4 linked regions of the Arabidopsis thaliana genome follow. The protein of the gene in region 2 interacts with the protein of the main gene of each other region in a pairwise test. Each region holds a gene or a part of one and is shown on either strand. Other genes may lie near its edges.

The links.
Region 1: the proteins of AT1G35490 (region 2) and HSFA7A interact in a two-hybrid assay, tested with the Arabidopsis thaliana proteins (one large-scale study listed by BioGRID).
Region 3: the proteins of AT1G35490 (region 2) and AT1G75710 interact in a two-hybrid assay, tested with the Arabidopsis thaliana proteins (one large-scale study listed by BioGRID).
Region 4: the proteins of AT1G35490 (region 2) and bZIP7 interact in a two-hybrid assay, tested with the Arabidopsis thaliana proteins (one large-scale study listed by BioGRID).

Annotation. Positions count from the first base shown.
Region 1 is NC_003074.8:19,263,487-19,267,332, reverse strand, and holds HSFA7A (heat shock transcription factor A7A), read right to left. Parts: upstream 2,193-3,846; 5' UTR 2,040-2,192; coding exon 1,776-2,039; intron 1,269-1,775; coding exon 714-1,268; 3' UTR 527-713; downstream 1-526. UniProt on the Arabidopsis thaliana protein: Transcriptional activator that specifically binds DNA sequence 5'-AGAAnnTTCT-3' known as heat shock promoter elements (HSE).
Region 2 is NC_003070.9:13,059,761-13,063,973, reverse strand, and holds AT1G35490 (bZIP family transcription factor), read right to left. Parts: upstream 2,426-4,213; 5' UTR 2,222-2,425; intron 2,129-2,221; 5' UTR 2,119-2,128; coding exon 1,589-2,118; intron 1,375-1,588; coding exon 1,299-1,374; intron 1,195-1,298; coding exon 1,068-1,194; intron 978-1,067; coding exon 808-977; 3' UTR 519-807; downstream 1-518.
Region 3 is NC_003070.9:28,427,113-28,431,876, reverse strand, and holds AT1G75710 (C2H2-like zinc finger protein), read right to left. Parts: upstream 3,207-4,764; 5' UTR 3,072-3,206; coding exon 2,485-3,071; intron 2,397-2,484; coding exon 2,299-2,396; intron 1,453-2,298; coding exon 749-1,452; 3' UTR 538-748; downstream 1-537.
Region 4 is NC_003075.7:17,722,046-17,725,590, reverse strand, and holds bZIP7 (basic leucine-zipper 7), read right to left. Parts: upstream 1,953-3,545; 5' UTR 1,792-1,952; coding exon 874-1,791; 3' UTR 554-873; downstream 1-553. Other genes in the region: GRF2 (growth-regulating factor 2), read left to right, coding at 1-58.

The sequences.
Region 1 (3,846 bases), on a different chromosome or scaffold from region 2:
GGAGATAGGAGATTGATTAGATTTTTTTTTTGTCAATCAACAACTAGCTGCTGTAGAAGAAACTTTAGATCAGAAAACAGAACAGCTAATCACTGCTAAAGAGTTTTCCTCTTCTTTGTCATGAGACATTCCACCATCTTGTGGATTCTTGATCTTTGTAGCAATCTTCTTGCTCATAGTTGTCTTTGCTCTCATTTTAAAGTTATTTTCTTGAAGACTAGAGATCAGAATTTTGACCGGAGAGAGTAAACCATATTACATGATTCCACTAAATTAACACTGTTACAGGTTAGAATCACGGACATGGATGATTGCTCACTCATGTGGACTTGTCTTAACACTGACCCAAATAAGCCAAAACTCCTTAATAGCATTAAATGATGTGAAAAAGAGAGATCACATTTGGAAAAAGGGTTTAGGGCAAAAAAGAGTGAAGCAGACAAAGACATCATTCAACGTCATCAATAGGTCTTTGTAAGAAGAGATCAGAGAAGAGTTTAGATGGAGTTAATAACAATCATATTTATCACATACATATACACATATATGAAAGAATTAACCATTTTTTTGTTTACACTACTACTACTACTACTTGATAACAAAATTACTGCAAATTAATTAAACAAACAGAAAAAGTTTTTTTTTTGTGACAGAAGAAAATGAGCTTGAAAGTAGAAGAAACTAAAAACAAAACCAAAAAGAAATCCATCTAGTTAGGAGGTGGAAGCCAAACTCTCATCACTAAGCAACTCTTCCCAGAAACCATCATCCAACTCTCTCTCTACCACCAGTTGATGATCCTCTTCTTCCAACATATTCCTCTGTTTTCCATGCCCTTGCATCTCCAAAGCCAAAACTTCCAATTCCGACATCGAAGAAGAACCTCTTTTCCTCTTTGCTGACTCATTATCCTCAAGCTCCTTAATTTTTTTATCTCTTTGTTTCAACAACTGATGCAAAAACGAAGGACTCTGCATTGCTCTAGCCAGAAACGACATCATTTGTCTCTGTTTCCTCTCTGTTCCTTCTATCCTCTGTTCCATAGCTTTGATGTAGCTTTTCGTTGTTTGTTGCTGCTGTCTTAGACTCACTATCTCCATCATTAGCACTTGCTTCTCTCTGCGAAGCTCGTTGCAAGCGTCATGGCTTGGTGAAGATGATGGAGTAAAAGGGTTTCTCCTCTTGATGTTCTTCAACAACTGTCTTTGTCCTAACAAAAACTCTTCGTTTGCAAATTCCCATCTCTCTGCTTCTATCTTTCTGAAACCCTGTAATTTTTTTAACATAAGTATTCAAAAACTAATCTTTTGAAAGTCTACATATTCTCACAAACATCAATAATTGGAGTGAGAACTCTTTCTATGTTTTTATATGTTAAAGAATGGAACAAGTGGGCAACGTTAAAGCTGATTAGTGAATAAACAATGGAAATTGGGATAAGATCGCTGACTGTTTCTTTTGATTATTTTAGTAAGCAAGTTGACACGAAACTTGCTTCTGGAACTTACTAAACCTTCTTCTACTCCACTAGCCATTACGGAATCTACATTTTCGATGTTTCTAGAATGCTAAATTAACAACAGATTCTGCTGTAAAAAATGACTTTTTTCCATTACCAAGTTAATTATATAGTAACATTCAGAATACTTCGCGGTAATTTTCCAGCAACAAGGGAAATGAAAGTTAAAAAAATAAAAGAAAAAAACAGAGCATTCCTCTGCTTTGAATGCTCTGTTTTGTGTTTGGTCAGAGAATACAGAGCAGAGAAGACTCACATAAGTATTGAGTTGTCTGATGAAACTTGAGAAATTGCTGTGTTTGAAATGACGAGGAAGGAGAATCGTGGAGAAAGAATGCAAATCCCAGACGACAAAACTTGTTCCTCCTCTGTTCCAAGATACGATGTGGTCAGTGTTTGGATCATCCACCATCTCAAATGTCTTGGTCAGAAATGGAGGTGGAGCATTTTCGTGTAAACCCTCCATTGGTTGTGGTGGTGGTGGTGGATCGCAGCCTTCCGGGAGAAACGGGTTCATCATCCTGAGGTAACGGGTTTTGAAAAACCCAATTGGAAATTAAAGACAAGATTCTTGATGATTTCGATTAACCAGTCTCCGAAGTTGAGTTCATCATCTTCGGATTTTGAAAAACTGGTCGGATTAAGTTCGTTTATGGCAGTTGATGGAGTGAGGAAGGTAATGTCCACGTAAGATAATTTTGAGGTGGCTTTATATAGGAAGAGTAGAAAGTGAGTGATGATATTAGATTTGATTAAAATATTTGTAAAAATTATTATTATAGTACACTCAAGTTAGAAATTAGAAACTTCTGGAAACGGTTTTGGACCTTTTTGATGCACATTCGAATAGTCGAAACTTCTGGAACTTCGTAATTGAGGACTGTACGGTATGGTTTTCACATTGTTAGTATTAGGACCCACCTTTTGTGTTTTACAAATATAAAAACAAAGAGTGATGCAAATGGCAAATTGTAATTGGGTTAAGTTTGGTTTTAATGTTGATGTGGCTGTTGTCTCATCTTGACATTTGGCTTGGGTCTAAACCGGATTGGTTAAGGCTAAAATAAAACCAACCAGAAGTACTCCAAGAGTTGATTGACAAATTCCCTGCAATTCGAAGGCCTCCATTAATTTCTGACTAGTAAATTTCTTAGGTATTTTTCTTTATAATATATAAGTTAGAGATATTTATAAAATATACACTTTTATATTAATATATGGCTACAAAACATTTCTTCTTTTTAAAGCAAAAACTTAAACCCTTAACCCAAAAGAGAAAAAATGGGTACATGCCTTAAAATGGACTACTCAGGTAATTCAGAATTGGTCGGTCAGAACAGTATCTGGAGCACAACTTCGTTGTTGTATTTTTTCTTTACATTCGTAGAACATAGTTTCTAATCAACAAAAAAATACACGAAAAAAGATAATAGTAATTCACTAGCAAACAATTTGTATATATTTTTTGTCGTTTGACCTTCAAGAATGGGTACATGTATTTAAATCAGTTTATTCTGAATTGGCCGGTTAAAACAGTATCTGGAGCAGAACTTCGTTGTTGTTTTTTTTTTACATTCGGAGAACATAGTTTTTTTTAATCAACAAAAAGAAAAAAAGATAATAGCAACGCTAGCAAACAAATTCTATATAGGTTTTGACCATACATAGAACAAATCCTAATTGGTCCGCTTGGACTCTTCCTAGAAGCTGTAGACTTCGTAGCCACCTTTTTGATGCAATCCTCAAACATGTGTCGAACAGTCTAAGTGACACTTGATGCATTACCGCGATGCCTCATGGTACGTGTTTGTACTCAACATCTGGTCTGTAGTACCAGAGACAGACAGGATGATAAAATATAGTAGAGATTTCGAATTATTTTATATTCAGCAACCTGCTTAACAAAATAATGTGGAGACATTTGATTGAACCATTTCTTTTGACTTTTTCTCCGAAAATATTTTTTAATAGTATGAATGAAGTTACAATTCGGGATTATAGAGTAGACTAGCTAGTTTAGTATTTGGTAATTGGTGCTTATCGATTAATTCTATGCGTTAATACTTTGTTACGTATAAGCATCAATTTTGATGGTCTATTTATTTATTAAACACAAAATTTCATTGTCTATTTCAAAGCAAAATCATGACATTTTTTTATTTTTTACTCCATTTTAAACAAGTCATGTTGATTTATGATATTGTTGTAGTTCCACTAAACACGTTTTTCATTTAATTGTACGTTTGGAAATAAATATGTTACTTAAAAGAGAAATATTGGCATAATATTACCTCCTCTTCGTAAAAAATTATTAAGATTTGTTATGA
Region 2 (4,213 bases):
TAAACAAAATAACAAATGATACTGCAAATCAGTTATTGAAAGTCTAAATAATACGCAATACAATCTTTCTTAATCGTTGTCAAATTTGTAAAGTTTGTATATATAGTATCTCAACTTGAAGTTCTCCCGACGATGCTGAAAGACCATTTAAAAATAAATATATATATATATATATATAATGTATGTAGCCATAAAATCTTTTAAAAGATATGGATGAGAATTATATTTCATATCAGTTTTTTTACTTACTATGATTAATATGCATTTTTTGAGATGGAGGGTAAAATTAAAATACAATGGCGGCTTAAAGGATTTTTTTTTTTACTGTTGCATAAACCCAACAAATTACTATGTTTTCGTAAATTCATTTTTTAAATATTAATCTTAATTTTCATATTATCTTGACTGGTGTATAAAATAGTATACAGAATATTTATATATATATATATATATATATATATATTTTTTTTTTCCTTTTATTACTAGAATCGGTCACAACTTGTATATATATAGATAAAGGAAATTGTCAAAAAAATTACTTATTCATATATATAATAGATGAAATAAGAAGGATTACAAGTTATTACATAACATGAAGTTTCTTGACAAGAGATTCTCTACCATGCCATAAATAGAGAGAAATGCAATAGAGGAGGATATGGGCAACCACATTTTGATTTACATAACGATGCTTTTTTAGGTTTTCATTCAAGGCTACAAACATCAAGTTCACCTATGTTGTATGGACATTAAGGTAGAGCAAGAGGAGCTCAGCTTAATCTGAACAATGTATCCATATTTCCTAAATCATATTGCCAAGGCTGCAAATTGGGCATCGGGTTCTTGTGTAACAGGTGGTTGATATTTGTTGTATCGATTTTGTATTGCTTGGACTTGTTTTTGGTTTTGCTGTGGTTGTTGTTGGTGTCGTCGAAACTGTAGGTTTCCTATCTCTCTCTCAAGCAATTGCTGCTCCACTGTATTAACCAACCAAAATCAAAATTTTACAAGAGAACAAAATAAATGCATTTTGATCCATTTTAGTAGTGATATGAAAGGTTAAATACCATGTTTAAGCTTTTGGATTTCTGCTAAACTATCCATACGTTGTTTTAAAGCTCTATTTTCCATGCTAAGCATGAGTAACTGCTGATCCAAGTAGTGAATGGCAGATGACATTTCACATCCTTCAACCTATTGAAGAAAATCCAACATGTATAATATAACATTAGGAATCTTTTCATATTATTAATGAAATTAAAGAACTTCGAGAAATACACGAGCCTTTAGAATCTTACTTGTAGCACTTGGATGGTCCTTTCAAGGTCTGATATGTACTCAAGCCTTCTCAAACGCGCTCGATGAGCATTTTGACTGCATTTTAATAATTTTCGATAAAATTGTATATTATTAAACCGCATCAGAAATATGTTTATCAACCTATATTAGGAATGTGGTCTAACTTATCCCAACAGTTAGCTCAAGAGTTAAGGATTGCCAGATAATGCCTAAAGATCTTAATCTCAATCGATGTGGGACATTTTAATAACCTATTATAAGTACACATGACAAAGATAAGACTACTTACTGTTTGATACGTTTTGAGTCAGTCTTTGATCTAGGACCATCTGGTTTTGTAGAAGTTCCTTCTTTCATTTTGCTTACATGTTTCTCAATGGGTTTCGACGACATATTTAAAGCTCCGCATGACATATTTCTTTGGATATTAGTTCCATTTGCTGTAGAGAAATCCCATCCTAATTTATTGTGTTGTTCATAAGAGTTGGACTGCCACAAATCATAGTTCTGGAACTGCCAAGACGAACCAGCAACATGATTTTCCTTCGAAGGCATTAAAGCTGAGTTCAAGTAAGCAGCTGTGTCACTAGCTGAACGTCTATGACCTTTGTTAATCTTAGGTGATGCTGGCTCACTTAGGAGCTCATCGAGCCAAGCTGGTTGGTCTTCTGTGAAAAGATCATCTAAAGAAGCACTATGGTGGTGCATATTATTAGGAGGAGAAATGTTATTTTCCATGTTTTTTTGGGGAACTCGTGATTGTGATCTTCCAATGAATCCGAAATTTCCCGGGTTTGACAACCTCCTTAAATTTTCCATTCTTCAAAACCTATAAGGTATGAGCAAAACATGTATAAGAAAACCATTATCATGTAATGACAAGAATTGAAGATACAGTTTCTTTAACATGCAAAGAACATACCTAAGAAGACGTACGAGATTAGGAGACGTGTGATTGTTAGACCTTCCACGGGGAGGAAAATGGCATAAGCTCCTCCCGTGTGGTTGGTTTCGATCACCTCTTCTCCTTAGAATGCAAAAAAAAAAAAAAACAAGAAACAATCTCTAGATCACTAAATAGAGGAAGATACCATATTGAAACAATCCATGTTGATGATTTACATTGCGTGGTTTTCGTGAAAACAACAATTCTTGTCCTTATGCTTTATTTGGTCTATTATTTTCTCAGTTATTTTTGCTTTTTCACTTTCCCATAATAGACTCCACCATTGGTTTATTCAGACTGGGTTTATTGGTACACAATACTACAAAAGCTTCGAGGAATTCTTTCATTTTTTATTCATCGAATTTGTATAGTAAGCTCCGTAATATTTTTATGTGATTTATCTACACGCTTCTAATAGATGCAAAATCAAAATATTACTCTCACTATCATATGAGATTGACAATGTAATGACGTGGGACAATTTCTTTCTTTTTTTAGTTAATAATCTTTTCTATTTACATAATTATAAAATTCTAATGTTATTATGAACTTATAAAGTACTAGATATACAATATATATATATATATATATATATATATATATATTTAAGAGAACTATAAAAAAATAAGGAGAAACTTTGTTAAATATTAAGAAATTGATATGTTCAAATGTTTAATAATTTGCACTTTAAACTCTAAAGCTGAAATTTAGTACGAAATGTTATCAGCTTTAATTTGATAAATAATTATAAGTGATAGTTTGCACTTTGTAGATTCTATACCATCTCTATACTATTATTTGAGAAATGTTGTTAGCAAAATAACTAGATGTTACTAGATTTTAATCCGCGGTATACCGCGGGACGATTTATTTTTTAAAAGTAATATATATTAAAACTTGCAAATTTTATTTTATAAAATATTTATATTTTACAATTTATAATTGTTATTAACTAACGCTATACCACGAATCCATGAGACAATTGTTAAAAAACTGAAGTTTTAACCCCTATTAAAACAGCATATTAATAATATTTTAAAATTTTATAAATATTAATTCAAATACATCCGCCATATAACTCAATTCTAAAATAAAACCCGTTCTGTAATTTCTTTACCCGTCCTGTGATTTTTTTTTAAGTAGTAATTTTTAAAATTTAAGAATTATTTTTTATATAAAAGTTTTGCAAATTGTATCATTTTCTAATACATTTATATTTTATAGTTTAATTTTATATATAGTAACATTATACATACCACATAACATTTTTTGTTTTATATAATCTTTTCTAAATTAGGATGATTTGATATGTTTAATATTAGTGGTCTTAGAAAATAATAAATTAAAGATTTAACCCGTATTGAAACGGTGGATTAATTATATTTTATTTTTTTTATTAATGTTGATTCAAAAACCCGTCTCTCTAAATCTGTCTTGCCAAAAAGCCATTTATTTATTAATATTATTTTTATTAATGATATGACTCTGAATTATAATCTAAACATTTTAGTTAATAACATAGGAGTGCACCATATTTATTTAATAGGGGAATGTACCATATGAGCCGAACGCACTTTTATCCAAATCCACCAAAAAAGTCTTGCAAAAATACTATAGAGATAAGAAACGATTGTCGGTTTTGATAGGTATAAGATTAGCAAATATATTTGTTAGCTTAAATTAGTTAAAGAATACAAATTGAAAAGGTATATTACACTTTATTCGAATATAGTATCAAAACTTATATAACACAGAGATTTGTTATTTTTTAATTGTTGAATATTTTTTTTTGTGCTAATTTTTATGTGATTAAGATTTAATTGATTTCGTAAATAAAATATTAAATTGTTTACGAACTTATTTGTTTATAATTTGGTAATAGATAGATATTTGAATATTCAGTATATTTTGCTTCAGTTTAGGAAATCTTTGATGACCCATCTCTAGATCCAATAAGCCCTATAATCT
Region 3 (4,764 bases), about 15 Mb from region 2:
ATTTGTTGTAAAACTCGAATATTAAACTGGTTTGATTCTAAATCTCTGATTTCATTTGCAACTCCAAGGAGAAATCGAGTTATTATAAAAATAAACAATGTAGCAGCTTCTGACAACGAGGAAAGTTCCAATGGTGCACCCTCTCAGCGTGCAAGCCTTTTTTATTTATGGGTAAATTTTGAACTTATCTGAACCATACCATATAACTACTATTTCCTTCTTCTTTTTTTGACAACACTATATAACTACTAAATTAAAACTATACAATACCCAACTTTTACAAAATCAGCTTTCCCTATAAATATTTCTTAAAAAATAACGAAAAGAACTTGGGTGAATAAAATAATTTACTGAAAACGCATGTGATAGCAATTATATCACTCTGCCACTCCCACACTATTTGATTCCCACCAAGTGTGAACACAGCTATGAAATTTACCATAGTTAACAAAATGTTACATTTACTGGTCAAAAAGCCTAAATTGAGAAATAACACGTTAAGTTCATCATAATTCATAATCATGATTTTTAACCCACTCGACTACTGAATTCTTAACCTAATCATGATTTTCAATAATAGAGATAACCAAGAACATATTAGCTTAGACTCCTGAGAATTACACTTAATAGTCAATAATAAGATGGGAATTATGATGCAGGTTGATGATTATCCCTAATCTCTCCCTATAATATTAAAAAGTTAGAAGTACAAAAAACAAACATTATTTCTCAAGTTAAAATTACAAATTCAAGATTCTAAAACTTTGTAAATAACCACGAAGCAAGGTAATATAGCTCTCGGGTTATAAACCACAAGCTCCTCAAGATTCGAATAAACTCCAGCATTGACCGCCACCGAGTCAAACGTACCACCACTCGAAGAAACTCCAACCACCGAGTTATCCTCCACCGTTGACTTCTTCTCCGCTGTAGCCGAAGCATCCGCCGCCGGTAAATCAACTCGCTTAACTCTCCCAGCGATCACACGGCACACAAGCATCACTCTCCTCGCATCATCGCTACACCTCAGCAAATCATCAGCTCTTCCGCTGCTCGCCGTCGTCCTCACACCGGCGTTTGCGACGTTGGCTCCTCCGCCACCAGATTTTCCTTGGAAACCGTGGCGAATCACGGTGCAGACGCCACAAACAGGGAGGTTAGAGCAGAGAGAAGAAGAGCCACGAGCTCCGAGTGAACAAGTGAGAGTGGTGCAGTGAAAACGTAAGAGCTCGTTGCCGTCGGCGGCACAACGAGCATCTTTTCTGGTTGCTTGAAGTGCACGCGCCTTCACTGCGTCTCGGCAATCCTCAAACCGTTGGATCGTACGTTGAGTGTTGTGGACTTTTAATATCCGTTCGATCTGACAGATGGGACTGTCTTTTTTAAGCCAGCTTGATTTGAATATGATCTCCACTATGTTTCGACCCGAATCCTCCGGACCTAACTCCGAAACTGCAATTAAACGACAACGTTTTTGCTCATAAAATCAGGAAAAATATGCAAGTCAAAACAAAAATCTGAGTTTTTGGGACATTAAAGACAGTTCTATAATTCGGTTTTTGTCAGGTGAGGGGTTTTAATTCTGATACTGTCGAATTGAAAAATGACACGTAATATTTCAGGGGGACATTGAATTTAGTTAAGAGCAGAGACAGCTGTTTCTTTTTATAGTACAATGGTCCCATCGCATGGTAAGTGTTTCCAAGCAAAACGACGGATTTGGAGACCATAGAATATATCTTGTTCTCCAGTTATATTCCTATTCTCTTTTGTATCTTTCTCTAAAAATACGTATGAATCTCTATTCCAAAAACAATCTGTAACATACGGCCAAATCATCCTAACTTATTTGATCGATATAATCACCGACAATAACACTGAGATCTTGATTCCATTAAGAAACAACGAAGTCTAAGATATATATTAATGAAAGCATGTTCGTTAATTATTTGCTTAGCATTATGGTAAATCTATCGATAAATCCAAGGGCCTATACGCCGGAAAACATGTGTTAATGCTAATTATTCAATCAATACTAAACAAACAAAGGTTGTATCATCATTCACAAGTCAAATCATGGACTGAGATCTTAAGTTTTTTTCCAAGGATACAAAACATAATCTTACTTTGCCAAGCCATTCGCATTTACGAAAATCTCACTAGATACTTAGGGTTAAATTTAAAAATGTGACTACCACACACCAAAAAATAAAAAATTGTAGCTAAAGCGTAATTAATTAATTTGAGGTAAGTGATAAAGTCAAACAATTTTTGTTAAAAGGAAAAAAAAAGCCTTACCTGCGTGACGAACTGCTTGATGAAGCTCTAAGCTTTCAAGCTTGGGGAAAACTTCTCCACATTGGGAACAAGCACAAACCCTAGGCGAAATCGGATACCTAAAATTCAAGAACATGAAAATGAAATTACAAAAATATAATTCAGAAGAACATTTACTTACTCATAATTAATTTTTGGTGTCATTACCTGCTCGGGTCAACGATCATGTGACATTCGTAACATCCGGAGAGTTTACGGAACTGCATGGCTCTAAACGAAGTCGTTGACGATGACGTGTAACTCCCACTGGCGTTAGATCTCGTTGAGCCAGATGTAAGAGACCGAGACGAAGAAGAACCGTGTTGACCAGGTTTCCGAGTCAGAAGCCGAGTCTCCGAGTTAGGAGTAGCCGAGTTACCTACGTCTGGTGAGTGATCAGCTCTATGAACCACACGAGTGTTGCCGTGAGCCACGTCTCTAAAGCTGCAAATGGAGCTGCACGACGAGCCAAGCTTGGAAGGAGATAAGTTAGTTGTCATGGACGGACCAGATTGAGAGTTCTTGGAAGGATCATGGACTCTTGACCCTTCGATTTGTTTGCAAGTCAATAGGTTCTTGATTTGGTCCCATGAAGATGGCTGCTTCGGAGGTACTGCTTTCTTCGGTTTCTGCGGTTTATGTTTCTGTGTCTGCGTTTGGTCGGTGGGATTATCGCGTTTCTTTCGTTTGCTAGACGTTGGCTTGTGTTTTTGTGGCGCCTCTGCGTTCTCCGGCAAGAAAGTTAGTAAAGCCATTGAAAGAAGAAAGAAACTCTTGAGAATGTGAGAGTTTCTTTTGTGTTCGTCTTTATGGTTCTTTAATTATAAGCTTTTATTTTTAGGTGTTGAAATCGAAGATGGATCCAAGATGGGTAATAAGGAGGGAAGAAGATTAAAGTAGTGGGCTCTATCTTTCTTTAATTCTTTATTTTACAGTTTTACTTTCTTACCCTTCTGATTAATATTCTTGTCGTTCGAATTTATTAAAATTATAATCTTTTAATAGAAAATAGGGTACTAATTTAACTATATTCAGATATCTTGTTTTGTCAGAGAAAAATATCTTTCTAATTAATTTTGGCATCTGGTTGCTTGCTTTGTTAGTTGTGGATTTTCCTCAAAAGAAAAAACAGTATTTAATTATGGATTTTGGATAGATAGTAAATTACTTTTTTGATGATTATAAATTAGTTAGAAGATCTTGAAGTTAATTTTTTTGGACGAGCTTGGTTGGCTTTGTATGTGCTTTAACTGCTTCATCTATAATCTTCCATTACAGTTTGACCTTCTTAAAGGCGGAATTAGTCAACGTCACTGATGTTTATATTGGTAGTATTGATTTGTTTGGTTATTATACTCAAAACTTTGAATGGAATCTCTTTATTAATAGTCGTTACTACATAATAAAAATGTATAAGTTCACCATTAAAACAAGTTTGATGACAGAAATAATTAGTTTTAAAAATCAAAGTTTGGAGATTCCATGAATGCAAGCAAGACAACAAGAAAAGAAATGGAATTAATTAGTACATCAAAAATATAATAATAATAATAATTCTAAAAATGATGTTGTTGATATGTATGGTCAAAAGTATTTTTTTAACAGAACAAGATTACACGTTAAACACCAGACAAGGTCTTTGGAAACTTCGTATTTGGAACTGTGATTACGGATTCCAAATGTTCTATTTGTCTCGATTTGAAAATTTCAATGCTCTTAATTCCTTGTTTCCTAAATAGTTTGGTACATTTATATCATTTTTACTTCAATAGTTTTTGGTCTCAGTTTGTATGTAAGTATTTCAGATTTATGCAATGTATTACTTCATATTGATAGACTATTTTTTTCAAAGTAATTAGGATAGGGTGTCATAAACTAATCTCAGTACAGTAAATAGAGGTGGAGTTACACTTGAAGTTTGTGTAAAAAAGTATGGGTGTAAATTCATTTATTAATATACTGATTATCATAAAAAACAGTTTAATGCACTAAATAAATAATAATTTAATGTGTAATAAATGTCGACATTATGGGAAGAACATTTTTAATGTGATAACTCAAGTGAGCTTGTATATTTTTAGATTGTGGTAATTGCGTTCAAACACAACACACAATTTCGAGTAATTATATTAATCATTCATCATCAATAACATAAAAGTAAATTAATCATATTTAGGGTGAAAATTTGTAGCAATCAAAAGAAACTACGATTTTAAGGTTGATCGTTGACTATATGTAAAATTCTAAGACCTTCACATTCGCCGCAATACTTGGATTTATCACGCAGTCGCTTTGGCCTTCTCACTTGTCGTGTTCCACATTTGTCCTTCTCTTTTGTTTTAAACTTTGGTTATAAAAATCACCAGAGATTGTTATAAAGTCATTTCGTTTAAAATTTTGTTAAATATGTTATGTTCATTGAGACAAAAGAAGAAACGAAGCGCGAGA
Region 4 (3,545 bases), on a different chromosome or scaffold from region 2:
CAGCCCCATTGCAGAGAACAACAGACACAATGGCGATTACTTTCATTACACAACCTGAAAACTGAAACCAAGTCCTGCGGCAGGAAACAAAAAAAGAAAAGCTCTGTTTTTTCTCTTTCATTATGTTCTGTTTCGTCTTTCTAAAGCTTAAAGAGGAAATTAGAAAATCGTTGTTCTTCTGATTCTTTCTTCGTTTCCGATTTCTGAATCATTTGTTTGATAATCACTTCATATAATCACAATCTTTATTCTAATTGTTCAGTTACAAACTAGGGTTTATCTTTGCTCTTTCATCAAGGGAAAACTTTTAGGGTCGTAACAAAAATGGACTTGAGGACCTAAATTATTGTTGGGCTTTATGTTCCAAAACTTTATTTGGGCCGAGATAGGCATTTTAACGATTAAGATATATTATGTAGTGATATTACAGTATTTGGGATCGTGGCAACCGGTTTATTAGGCTTGGTTTAGTACTTTAAAATACAGTGTATCTTTTCAACAATTATGGGCGTTGTAGCATGATGTCAATGCGCATAAAGCCTTTCCAGTTTCCACTAAGTAATAATGTAAATCGTTGTATTAATTTAATAACTCTTTAAGTTATTTATCTCATACACGAGAGTGGGAAAAAGAAAACCAAAATAAAAATCTGTTTTGTTTTCCTTCTTCTCTAGTGTAGTGGAGTCACAACATATAGAAAACGAGAAAGTGGAAAGGAAAATTAGAAAACTATCATTTTCTCTTCCTAACCTTCATTTCATTTACATAGAGAGATAGAGAGACATAGCGAGAGTTTCTTTTTTGCTTTGCTTTTTTTTTTTGGTTATTGTTCTAAGTTTTTCGATATTTTTTCTTCTTAAATATTTTGATCTATCATTGAAGATGAGGGTGGTTTTGTTCAGTCATGATCATTCTCCGGTTATGTAGTTCCCATTGTTGCTGTTGTTGAAGTTGTCTAATGATCAGAATCCGACGCATCTCCGACAATCTTAGCCGGAGTATCTCTTGTTCTGTCACGAGCCGGTTATTGTCGGAATTCACTCGTTGAAGCTGGTGTAAAACTAACCGGAGTCGGTTCCCGAGCTCACGGTTTTCTAAATCCAACCGGTTTACTTGCTCTCGTAAGTTATCAATGTGACTTTGTTTACGCATTCTTGACCGTTTCGCTGATTCCCGGTTTGACTCCATCCTCTTCCTCTTCCGCTCGTCGGTCATCTCCGGTTGGATCATTTTTTTCCGGTTATGGTTATTCTCTCCCGAACCGAAATTTGTGATGGCTGTCAATTGTTTTGTGTCGTCCGAGTCCGGTTCATCTGCTTGAGAGCACGGTAGATCGTTTGATATGTCGGCGTCGTCACAACGAGGATTAATTTTGACGAAACCGGCACAAGATTCGTCAGAACCGGTTTTCATGTCATGAGAACCGGAATTAATTTTGACGGAACCAGTGTCGGATTCACCATAACAAGGACTAGGGATGGCCGGTTCAAGAGACATTTGGTCCACGAAAAAGAGATCAGAGCAATCCCATTCCCAAGGAGTGAACCCGGTTTGGAAACCCGAGAATTGATTAACCAAACCCGGTTCGGAGAATGAAAAGGCCGGTGCAGTGGACAACATAATTGCTAATAATTTTTCTAATAGAGAGATGAGAGAAATTAGAAGGGGAAAAGGGAAGAATTGCATTGTTGGAGCTTGATATTTATGGACAAACCAAGGGGTAATTTGGTCATATTTCCAAAATACGATGTAAGACCGTAGACTATACTGTATAAACAGCTTTTGAGTCATGTTGCACTATGGTGGGGTTAAAAACTTGAAAATTTTTATTTGGCAGAGCCAACTTTTGTAAAAGCAGGAAATATTGTGTAGGGCACCAATAGCTTGTTTTGGGTCCATATAACAAAAATAAATTAACAAATTTGAAAATTATGTAACCAGTAATAGCTTAGTGATGAAGAAAACAGTCCATATTTCACACGTTTTAAGAAATTCAAGAATGAGATATTTCTTTACACTCCTAGAAAAAGTTTAACTTTTCATATTGGAATTGAATACTTCATATAGTTTTCTCTCATTCTTGTTAGAAGATTCAACAAAAAAAACAAAAAATTATCAATTCCATATTATCTTCAATAAACTTATCATTTTAGTTAGTGATTAGATAAAACAAAAATTGTATGTGAACATATGCTGGTTAATTATGATATTTACAGTCAGAATAGAGTAATTTGTGGTTCTTTATGTTCACTGTTTAATAATCTTTCTTAAAGAGAAAGACAATCTTTTTTTAAAGAGAATGGCAATCTTTCTTTATTTTAGTTTTGTCAATTTCTTTTAACACGGGATGGACACACACTGGAGAGGGACTAGAATCATCGTTTCAATCAGAGAATCTAAGGAACATACTTTTCAATTAACTGAACCAAACTGGTGCTTTGCATGAGAGATGAGACCAATGCTTTTTGTAAAGAACCCTATAAGTTAACCTATGACCAAAAAGTTAAGTATATATACTTGCTTGCTACACGGAAACATTGAATATTTCGATTGCAAGGATACATCAAATGTAGAGTATTTTTAGATTAGTTTCTTCATTAGAAATATAATGTGAAAAATTCAATAATTTAATTGTTAAATCTTGAATCAAAATATATTGTTTCGTAAATAATGTTTAAATATACAACAGAAAATTAATGGAAATATAGAAAATAAATTAATTTTTATCTTAATGTTGAATTGTTTTCTCTTTGGTTAAAATGCTGCATCAATCATAATTGATTGTATAAATATATATACGGCATTACATAGCTTTTTCGCTTAATAATTTACCAATCTAAGGAAAGATAATTAATAAGGATGAAAAATGCGCCTAGACTTCTAAATCACACAATCCCTAGTACAAAATTCTGATTAAAATTAAATTTAGTATACTATAATTATATTAATTTTTAGATACCTTTACTTAGCTTATTTATGATGAGAAACAAAAAATGTGGAGCAACGGCCACATGCATTTCATATAGAATAAAGTGGAGAGGACAAAGACTTATATATATTACATATACACGTCGCTTTATTATAGCCAGATTCATGTTTTGGTTCGGTCTCATGTGAACTCAACTTTAAATGTCCAGAAAAAAAAGCTCACATCTTAGCTTTTTATATACATTAAAAAAGGTCGAGTGGAGGGACCTATTACTATTGTTAACCACTGAAAAAGTCGTATCGCAGATCGGTCGATGAGCCAGGAGCTAAGCTTGTGCCCGGCTGGTGAACCAGCTTTCAACATGGCTTATAGCAAGTTACAACAAGGTTCTGTTGAGATAATCATATACAGTTTGATATATTAGCAAAATATTTTATAGTTTGATCCTAATTAGTACAAAGTTCTTAAAGCTCGATCTATATACGTATACGAACATTTCATGCTAAGTGGTCTATTTTAACATTTGTATTTCGAAATTTTTTAAAGTTTGATACAATGATTTTTCCCTAGTGGAGTTACAAAAATCTTTATCTTAAAAAGTTTTCACCTCATTATT